4 linked regions of the Kluyveromyces lactis genome follow. The protein of the gene in region 3 purifies or fractionates together with the protein of the main gene of each other region. This does not show direct contact. Links are inferred from orthologs where the notes say so. Each region holds a gene or a part of one and is shown on either strand. Other genes may lie near its edges.

Region 1 (1,985 bases), on a different chromosome or scaffold from region 3:
TTCTGGAACACTTTATAATGACTACTATTTACGAGATCACTGTATATAAACAAAACTTAATCTTAATATGTTTCTACATGGAAATATGCCAACATCTTATGTAAGGCTTCCCGTCTTTAAATAATTAATGAACTTTTTAAAATCCCAACATACCAAATTTATAAAATCAGATGAATATGCTTTATTTAGGTGATGTGAATAGTATACAATGCAATAGTACATGAAATAGAATTGTGTGCATGCGTGCATGCGTGCTTCTTGTGCTTTCTTTATTTGTCGTTTCAGCAGCTGAACAGAAGTTACAGCAAACAGATGGTAATTGAAACTCAGTGGTTTTGTCTATTCTGGAGTCCATACGTCGAACGTAATAAAATGCAAACAAAGAACGCAAGAAAACAACGCGGTAGTAACCAGTGGCAGAAAAGTGAAGACGTAATTAAAGAGAATGGACCATTTTAGTGTAGAAGGGGGTATCGCAATTGATAGTAAAAGCAGACCACCTAATCTCTTTTTTCCAAAGGATTGTATCTCAAGAACTTTTCAATCAAATCGACATGTGTTAGAATCATTCTTCTGCAACAGTATCTCTTCAACCCCAATCTAGTCAAAGCAGTACCTTCTTCTAGTTCTTCTTCTTGCAACATATTCAAATAGGCTTCCCATTTGTCACCGACAACTTTCCCACAGGAAAAACATCTAACTGGAACAATCATCTCTCTTTAAAAGTATATCGAAACGAAAAAAAACCTAGAAACCTGGAAACCTGGAATAAACCCTCCGAGATTTATAAACTATCACAATAAGTGGATCAAAACCTGCTCGACCTTTTGAAAACTCATATAATTTGCATCACAAATCATCATATTCAACCAGCTTTCTTAATTCTTAATACTTTAATTTTTCATCGGTTCCAAATTTTTCATTAGATGCCCTTATATGTCACTTCTCACGATAGAGATGACCATCGTTTCTTTTCAAATCCTCGTCCTGCACAGGTTTCAACCATAAAATTTTCCAAAACTACAATTCTACATACGGTGAAAAAAAAGAATCCACATTAGACAAATAATTGAAAAGATGCGATGAGCTTATGAGTTATATGATGAGCTTGTCTTTTGAGAAGCAGAGAAAGAAAATACCAAGAGTAGGATCAGCCAGAGGCACCAACAAGAGTATCAGCTGTTATCGAATCCACGTTAAATATGCCAAACTCTTCGTTACCAATGTACAAGCTTTCTGTTGTTTCTGGTGGGAAGGTCGCTCTTCCTAGGATTCACAATAGATCCGCGACTAGAAAATCGGTGAGTTGTCTTACTCAGGACGGGTCAGCATACATTGTCCCTTTCAACAATCAGTTCAAAGTGTATTCAATTGATACTAGACAATGTATTAAGACATTGAAATTTGCTAATAATGATATTTTGACTTCGATACTCGATGAGCCTTCTGTAGAGGTGGTGCATATCGAGCCTATTATTGACGATGAGATGGATAAGATCAGAGTGTATACCAACACTGCGAAAGTAGTTATATTGAAGTATAAGGGTAAATTAGCCACGGAGATTAAAACTTGGTCTTTGAATATTACTGGCGAGTTATTTGCAGTTCTTGGCGATGGGAAGAAATTACTTACAGTTCAGAAAACAGGGAACTCTTACAGATATGATCTATATGAAAACGTTGAAGAGAAAGAGGAAGAATCTGAGGTTAAACACCTTGAAACTTTTGAGAATGTTTTACTTTCAACTTGGTCTAATAACAATAACTACCTTGCCCTAGTTTATTTGAACCAGGAAACTAAAAAACATGTGCTGATCAAATCTATGGTCGACAACAGTTCAGTTCAGAACTTCCCAGTACCATCTACAACATCTAGTACCACCATAAATTCCCATTTTGTCACTGCTCTTGCGTTAGATAACGACGGCCAGCAGTTGGCTATTGGATTTGCATCTGGTGTTATAAATTTGATCAATCTACCTGAT
Region 2 (2,199 bases), on a different chromosome or scaffold from region 3:
TGTATCAAAATATCTTCACCTGTCAGATTTCATTGTTTCATTAGTTAATTTTGAATCTGTGATGAAATAAGCCTGGGGCTGCCAGAATAAATTTGTTTAATTTAACATAAATTAATAATTGAATCTTAACATGATCCCTCACCAGAAAAACTGTATCTTAAAAGTAACAACAAATGTATACAAGTTAGAAAGATGTGAAGATATCAAAATTCGAATATCTTGTTCCTTCCAAGGTTTTTTTATTGCAAACAAGGTCACTATTCTGTACTGATAATACCCAAAAAACCCAAAAGAAATAGTCCTATACACAATGAACGTTGAACTTTACGGTGGATAGTAATACGCTCTCCTATTTTATAGCCGAAACACAACACAGTTCATGAAAATAATACATAGAAGGGAAGAGGGGATAGAGAAAAACCGAAGGAGGTTCAATAATTCTTTTGAAAAGATGAATTACCTGACACTTGTTTAATACACTTGAGCAATTTCCAACACTATTACATACCATAATCCTCAGTAGCCAACGTTTGCAAATTCCATTCTGTTTCGAAGTTAGACTGCAGCTGAGCCAACTTATTGATAATGCTATTACATGCGTTCTTCAACGCATCCTTCGGATCGTATCCTTCCACAGTCTGAATTCTCATTTTAAACTTGGCAAATAACGGATGCTCTACCTTATAAGCTGCAAAAAGAACTCCTTCATCTTCTAAAAGTTCGGCTCTAATCAAATTCCCTAGAGTGTGGTCTTCTTTCTCAAACGTTACTATAATAGCACTGGATGCCTTGGTATCTTGCTCTACTTTAAGCTTCGACTCACCTTCCGGTAGTAAAAAAAGTTCAAATCTATCTGGAGCATTCATATCGTTACTCTATATTATCTAGCGGAGCCACTGATTGAATCTGTCACTGGATTGCGCTGCCTTCTCCTGCCAAACCCACACAATGTTGTCTATGGTCACTTTAAAGTTCTGTTGTGAATTTTTCATGTTGAGAAGCGAACTGCAATCAGAATCAGTGAATGAAAAGTGGTTACCCTCAGGCACGTGATATTGAATCTGACCCGAAATGTCGACAGTTCCCAAGACCAAAAAAAAAAAAAAAAAAAAAAAATTCAAAATGGAAAGATTCAAAAAAACATATAAATTGAAATTTAACATTTGAACTCTTTAAAGTATGTATTTAGAGTGGAAATTAAATGCGGTTGCAGAATCTAAAGGGGAACGAGACAAGACATAACCTTCTCTGTGCGATATCAAGGGCGGATAATCGAGTAATTGCTTTGAGCTTATACCAGTACTTTGAGTATCTAGTTCATAGTCTAAGGAGTACACCATTGTTCACGACGTGTTTTTTGGTCCTGTTCCTTTTTTTTTATTGTTTTCTTTATCAATCATCGAGATTTGATTCTGATTAAGGAACTTATCTAACTGCTCTGAGGTACGACCACGATTAGCGCTGCTATCATCTATTCTTTGATCGTGTTATCTAACGCATCGTATTAGTACAAAATTTGGCAATCGTGCTCGAGGGTAAAAGATGTCGGCGCCATGGAACCAACAACCGGATGGTCCACAACAACAACAGCAGCAGCAGCAGCAACAAATTCCACCATCGACTGGAATGATTAATGGTGTGCAAGGTCAAAGTGAGAACAGTCCAAATCTGTTACCTCAGCTCGCGCCTCCCGCCGTTAACATCCAGATAAAACCGGAACATGATCAACAACAACATCACGTGACCCTACCATCGATTTCTACTATTAGTGGATCAAATCAGCCCTCCCAGGGTCAAGGACAGGAACAGGTACAAGGCCAGCAAAACGCACGTTCTCATTCCCATTCACATTCGCATGTGCACCCTCACATCCACGGACCATTGTCTGGTGTTTCTAACCGAATGGATAACATCAATTTACAGAATGGAGGAACTCCTATCAATTCTGCCGCCGGGAGTAACGGTCCTGTCTCAACGAATAGCGAGGGCGCCATCCCTACTCCATCAATTAACAATATCGTTCAACAACCAGATATTACGCATCAACAGCAACAACAGCAATTACTTCAGGGGCACAATGTCCAGGTGGAAAATGCTATGACAGTGGGACAGGATCCACTGCAACAAGCTCAGTATTCTTCATATAGGCCCTTGAACGTCAAGGATGCTTTATCGTATTTGGAACAGGTTAAATTTCAA
Region 3 (2,848 bases):
GTCAAAACACCTCTTGGACCAGTAACCTTGATGTTTCTGGATCTGATTTGGACGGTAACACCTTCTGGGACATCTAGGACTTGGTCAGTTTGAATGTACTTCATCTTGTCTTGTTGTATTCGCTCACAGCCTATCTGAAAACCAAAACCAAAACAAAGCAAATGCACTCAACTGTAATACTGTAATACTGTAATTAACGCCTGTTTCAACAAACAATGCAGGAGCCAAGTATAACTGGGAATGCTTGCACATCATCTTTGTTAACCTAGAGCTTTGCAATTGGTGAAAGTTGGTCAATCTTGCAGACGCAGGAAATGAGACTTCAGAAATTTTTCACCAAACACCCAGACATTTCACAGTATCAACGACTTTTTCTGTGGAACCTAGCGGTTGTAGTTCTCATCTCAAAAAAAAAAAAACCGCAAAAATTCCTCTTTGGAACACCTGTACATAATAGAATAACAGTCCCGCAGTTTTTCAATGATCCATTCCCCATCCCAAAGAATATCTGACTCACAACAAGGGAATTGTGTCAGACATCCAAAACGACCAAATTAATCACACTTTATCTATCATCTTTTGCAGCTTGCCGAATATACGATCTCTGTGTATAGCATCTTCATCGTCTTTGTCAGTTGGGAAGAAGTAATTTCTCTTGAATGTCTGATCATCTACGTCCATTCCAGTATCGTGATCGTCATCAGCCTCTGGCTTCAAATTGACAAAGTCACCGTCGTATTTACCGTTGTCATTATCACTATCGGCATGGTCATCGTCGTCGTAGTCAAAGTCGACGTAATTATTGGCATTCAACGAGCTCAAAAGATTGGAAGATTCTCCGTAATTTTGAAATAATGCATCAAACTCATCACCATTATCATTGGTGGTTTCGTTAGCCTGCTCACCGTCCACATTATAATTTTGATCCAGTTCATCATTTAATTCGTCAAGGTATACTATATCTTCTGAATCCGTCCTATCTTCGTCACTTCCAATAAAAATTGATCTGTCATCGTCTTCATCTTCCGGATAATCGTTCTGATAATAATCTTCCTCATTTGAATCCTCATCGTCAGTCAACATTGTTTTCTCTGGATCTACTTCTTCTTCTGGGATCATGTCCCCATTATGCTCAACGATTCTGATGTATCCGATAGTACTCTTATCGAAAACGAACTCCTCCTCATCTTCTGGTATGGTTTGTTTCACATACACATCGTAAACGTAATCTGTAGGAGGCAAGATCGGAGCTGTATATGATTTTGAATGTTTTCGACTTGCCTTGCGTTTCTTGTGCTCTGGTGAGTCCTTCTCCTTTATCTTAAGATAGTCATTTAGCATTTCCGCAATGCTATCCGGTAGCTCTTCTTGCAATTCTGACGCTGCCTGGCGCTCCCGTTCCCTTTCAAGAACGTAAACCATTTTTTTATCATTGTTCTCATTACTCAATTTCAATAGTGGACTGTTAACATCGGGAGTCTCAAGCTCTACAGTCTTAGATAGCTTGAACACGAACTTCCCTTTTTTTGCGTTTCTCTCCTCTTCTAAGAGCAAAGCCTGTACGGAATCCTCATCCCGACGTCTTTTCACTCTGATGTACTCCACGCCAGATATGCTTTTACTCATGTCAGATATATTTGCTTCTGTAGGTAGAACAGAGTCGTTTCTGCTATGTGATTCCCTCATTAATCCATTGGTCTTGGATCAAATGATTCTTATTCTAAGTTGAAAAGGTAAATTTGGTTTTCCTAGACAAAATGATTCTGAGCAAAACATGAAGAAAGTTGGAAAATTGACGCTAAGAACGTCAATTAGTGACAGTAAAGAAAACGATGGCAATTAGAGTTGGTATAACTTTCATTGGTCATAGTATAGAATAGTTTTTATCAGAGAAAGGGTCTCTGATTGTAGCTATGTTTTGGAATAGCTTAAACTATTTTGCGTTGGATCAAAAAGGTACTCAATATGTTAGAGTTCTTGAAGATTTAGTTACCTCTTTTGTGGGTATACCATTGTGTCCACAAAAGGACATTGTTGTAGTTGCTGGGGGCTCGAGAGGTATTGGGTCACATCTCGTTACAATGTTTGATTCCTTGGGCTATAAGACTATTCTCATTGATAAAAGATACCCATTAAATCTTATTGAACCTCATCGAGTGTCATTTTACAAGTGCGATATTTCTGACTTTGAATATACAAGATTAATCTTGGATGATATCTCAGTAAGATTTGGTCAAATCACTGTATTTATCAATGCGGTTTCCTTGAAAAGTTTTACTGACGCCGAAGTGGGGAAAGGTGTGAGTTTGAGAAAGTTAATGAGAACAGTGTATGCGGGCAGCATGCATATTATTCAGCATATTTTACCTAAAATGATAGCGTACGATCGCGGTTATATAATTGACATTGCTTCAACGGAAGGCTTATACACTACGGAAAATAAGTCTTCTTATGGTGCCATACAAGCAACGAAGTTTCAATTACTCCAACTGATTGAACAGACGTTGAAAGAGCAATATAAGAAGAATTTTTTGATCAGCAACGGCCGAGTTCGCTGCTTACTTTTGATTTTTGGTAAAGCTCTTAATTCTAAACCGCACCAGGATATGACGACGGCTAAAACTGTTTTCAGTGCTATCTTTCATAATAGACAAGGTGTTCAGGGATACTCGATGAGGACGAATTTCAAATTAGCTCTAAGAGAATTGGATTGGCAATGGTATCAGATGTTCAAATATTTATCCCCCTTCCTATAAAACTTTTGCCGTTTATGAATATCCGTTCCTTAATGCCGCTCTTGTTGAGAATCTAAACGCGGGAGGGTGGAATTCATATATGTAAAATGTAT
Region 4 (2,853 bases), on a different chromosome or scaffold from region 3:
AGCAGATGTAGAGGGTCTATGTAATGGGATTGATGAAGAGCTAGTGGCTCATTTGTACAAATGGACTGCGGATATTCCAAAAGTGAAAATCGTATACGCAGGCGGCGCTAAGAGTGTGGATGATTTAAGGCTAGTAGAGAAATTGAGTCATGGCAAAATTGATTTGACCTTTGGTAGTGCTCTTGATATTTTTGGTGGATCCCTTGTAAAGTTCGAGGACTGTGTCCAATGGAACCATGAGAAACACGCTTAGCTTCCAGTCTTTGTCTAATAGTTACACTTTCGATGGAAATAAACATTCTATATAGAGATAGAGATATTGAAACATTTTTGACCGTTCAACTTTTGAACGGACGTGGTAGATTGGATGGTAGCAGATGCTGCTAGTGCCTTTGAGTATGCTAGTATTAAGGAATATATGCCTTGTGTTTCGTCAATGAATTATAGAAAAATCGTTGCCTTTCACGATAATTGTGGTAGCTTTTTCTTGTTGTCTTGTCTCACCATGCATCATCGTATCCTGAGCCTCCTACTGGCCCTCCATAAGGATCCATATCTTCTTCCATCGGCACTTGTTGTGATACGTGCGTAGATACAGCTCCTGCTGCGAAATTAACTTTCTCTTGGTCCATCTTCTTTAATGAGAATAATATGTCGGCTACTTTATCCTGTAAAGTTTTGATACCACGTACGACGACTTGTTCCGAAGTGATGGAACCAACAGACTCGACGTTTATGTAAAATGTATTAGGTTTGGCCCTGTAGTCGAAATCCTCGTCTTCGTTAGGAGGATCTTCAAATTCACAATTCTTAGATTGAGGCCATTCGTCCCTTGCATCCTGTTCGTACCAGTAATCTGTGTGTTTTAACTTATTCCATGGATCATATTCAAACTCTATAGCTGCTGATGGTGACCATTTCGCATGTTCTTTTGAAATACCCTTCTTAGCGATACATTTCACTCTTATCTCTTGTCCCTTTCTTAGTTTACAGATTAATACACCATTTGCTTCTCTGTCTTGTATAATTGGATGGCCAATATTTCTACCCTTCAAATCGCTGGTAATCTGCAAATCCTTAGCATAAACGTTCGTCGTGGATTCACTCTCACCGATAGCATGTAGTATTAGCTCTACTGAACAACGGTCACAGTGATCTTCACAGTAACAGTCACGACAGTATACAACTTGATCAATGTCTGCACTTTGTAATGGAATTAACCCAAGTCTATGCGCAATAAATTCATCTGCCAACACAGTAGTATTAGTTTCAATCTCAACAGAATCGATGGCTAGTGTAGGAATCTCAGATATCATGACTCTACGTAACGAGTTTGCTAAAGCCAAGTCGACATTAGAAAGTATAAAGTCAACGTTGTCCTTGGTTGCTTCTCTAATTTTTACTTGGGGACCTTCTTCGCTCATTTGTTCTTTCGCAGTATTAAACTCTGATTTCTCCCTAAGATATGACCTGCTCCTTGCTCAATCAAATACCAGAGTATTGACCAAACTACAGCAACGAAATGATTTGTTCTCGTTCCCTTGGTGCATTCGATTATTGTTTTATGAATTTTTCACTTTTGTTCAGTTGGAAAATTTTTGAGCTTTGGCAGCGTTTGGTCACGTGCATAGGACTATTCCATCAATACTGTTTCAAATAGGCTCAGCTAAGAATAATATTGCTCGGAGTCATGTATATATAGCCTTTATTACCTATAGTTAACTTCTTCGAACAATAGTGGCCCCATTTCTTTCTTATTAGCATTATTTCTTCTTTGTAGGACCTTCAAATCGGTTTTTGAACATATTAGAAAGCTGATCCCACGCAATAGGCGAAATATCAAGTACAATTACACATCACCGAATTTAAAATAAGGTGAGTTATCCACAGATAATCAGCCTTTTACCATGCCTAAAGGAATTGCCCGTGTGGATGAGAAAGTTTCAGTAAAGGCGTCATTGCCAGATTTGCGATTTGAACAGACCTTTAAGCAGTCCTTGAGGAAAGAAGCTTTGAAACAGAATAAATTAACTCTATCGGTGGCTGATGGATCTGTCGTAGATCCTCCCATTACACCATATATCGTTGCAAAAGTTGTTGCTAGAGATATTTTGATAAGTCCATTTTTGCAGGGTGTCTTTCTCTCGTTATTTTATATCGTTGCCAAGCCATGGTTACAATATTGCAGACAAGCAGGACGTAATATTGGCAGAAGTATAATTAGGAACTTATTTGGTAAGAATGCGATATACAGGCCACCAAGAAACATATAACTGAACTTCTTCTCCTAGGGATTATAGAAGGATTAGGATACTATTAACACGAATTCTCTTGTCGTCGTTCTGTTCCTTCTTCGTCAAACAGAAACGACGATAATCTATATAGTAAAATATAAACTAACTTAGTATGATGATGATTTAATGTACATTACGACCAAAACCAACACTTTATTTCTTTCATACGCTCTGATAGTTCGCAGTAATCCAAGAATAACATTACCAGGCATGCAATATAGAACAGGATTAGGTAGTGAAAGCTGTGTTCCGCCACCGTTTTTTCCAAATAACGAACTCATGAATCTATTCCAGAGCGATAGTAAGTGAAGGTTGGGAAGGTATTGGCTTTGTATCATTATTATTTGTTATTTTTGTACTGAGTAAAAATTTCGGAGTCATGGTCATTAAGTGAATTGTCTGGAACCACCACGGACAAATTCGAGGATCTTCCAACCTTCGGTTTCCTTATCGTCGACAGTTTCTGGATCCCTGGTGAAAACCATGGCGTAAGAACTCATTAATATACTGGATTCAGCACCTGCTGCAATTTCACCGGTCTTTGCTTTTCTGTATAAGT

The links. The genes of interacting proteins can lie anywhere in the genome.
Region 1: the proteins of IWR1 (region 3) and RPB10 purify together in Saccharomyces cerevisiae (affinity purification with mass spectrometry, with the first as the bait; 4 studies listed by BioGRID). This does not show direct contact. The link is inferred for Kluyveromyces lactis from reciprocal best matches to the Saccharomyces cerevisiae genes IWR1 and RPB10.
Region 2: the proteins of IWR1 (region 3) and RPB11 purify together in Saccharomyces cerevisiae (affinity purification with mass spectrometry; 5 studies listed by BioGRID). This does not show direct contact. The link is inferred for Kluyveromyces lactis from reciprocal best matches to the Saccharomyces cerevisiae genes IWR1 and RPB11.
Region 4: the proteins of IWR1 (region 3) and RPB3 purify together in Saccharomyces cerevisiae (affinity purification with mass spectrometry; 9 studies listed by BioGRID). This does not show direct contact. The link is inferred for Kluyveromyces lactis from reciprocal best matches to the Saccharomyces cerevisiae genes IWR1 and RPB3.

What each region holds. Positions count from the first base shown.
Region 1 is NC_006040.1:576,062-578,046, reverse strand, and holds RPB10 (DNA-directed RNA polymerase core subunit RPB10), read right to left. Parts: upstream 714-1,985; coding exon 501-713; downstream 1-500. Other genes in the region: NAN1 (Nan1p), read left to right, coding at 1,203-1,985. UniProt on the Saccharomyces cerevisiae protein: DNA-dependent RNA polymerases catalyze the transcription of DNA into RNA using the four ribonucleoside triphosphates as substrates.
Region 2 is NC_006039.1:542,739-544,937, forward strand, and holds RPB11 (DNA-directed RNA polymerase II core subunit RPB11), read right to left. Parts: upstream 867-2,199; coding exon 501-866; downstream 1-500. Other genes in the region: transcriptional regulator SIN3, read left to right, coding at 1,543-2,199. UniProt on the Saccharomyces cerevisiae protein: DNA-dependent RNA polymerase catalyzes the transcription of DNA into RNA using the four ribonucleoside triphosphates as substrates. Component of RNA polymerase II which synthesizes mRNA precursors and many functional non-coding RNAs.
Region 3 is NC_006041.1:814,948-817,795, forward strand, and holds IWR1 (Iwr1p), read right to left. Parts: upstream 1,687-2,848; coding exon 559-1,686; downstream 1-558. Other genes in the region: RPL9A (60S ribosomal protein uL6), read right to left, coding at 1-104; KLLA0_E09153g (short-chain dehydrogenase/reductase), read left to right, coding at 1,914-2,756. UniProt on the Saccharomyces cerevisiae protein: Directs RNA polymerase II nuclear import. Binds RNA polymerase II in the active center cleft between the two largest subunits in the cytoplasm.
Region 4 is NC_006040.1:1,362,309-1,365,161, forward strand, and holds RPB3 (DNA-directed RNA polymerase II core subunit RPB3), read right to left. Parts: upstream 1,425-2,853; coding exon 501-1,424; downstream 1-500. Other genes in the region: 1-(5-phosphoribosyl)-5- ((5-phosphoribosylamino)methylideneamino)imidazole-4-carboxamide isomerase HIS6, read left to right, coding at 1-253; KLLA0_D16192g (uncharacterized protein), read left to right, coding at 1,908-2,273; protein translocase subunit TIM44, read right to left, coding at 2,681-2,853. UniProt on the Saccharomyces cerevisiae protein: DNA-dependent RNA polymerase catalyzes the transcription of DNA into RNA using the four ribonucleoside triphosphates as substrates. Component of RNA polymerase II which synthesizes mRNA precursors and many functional non-coding RNAs.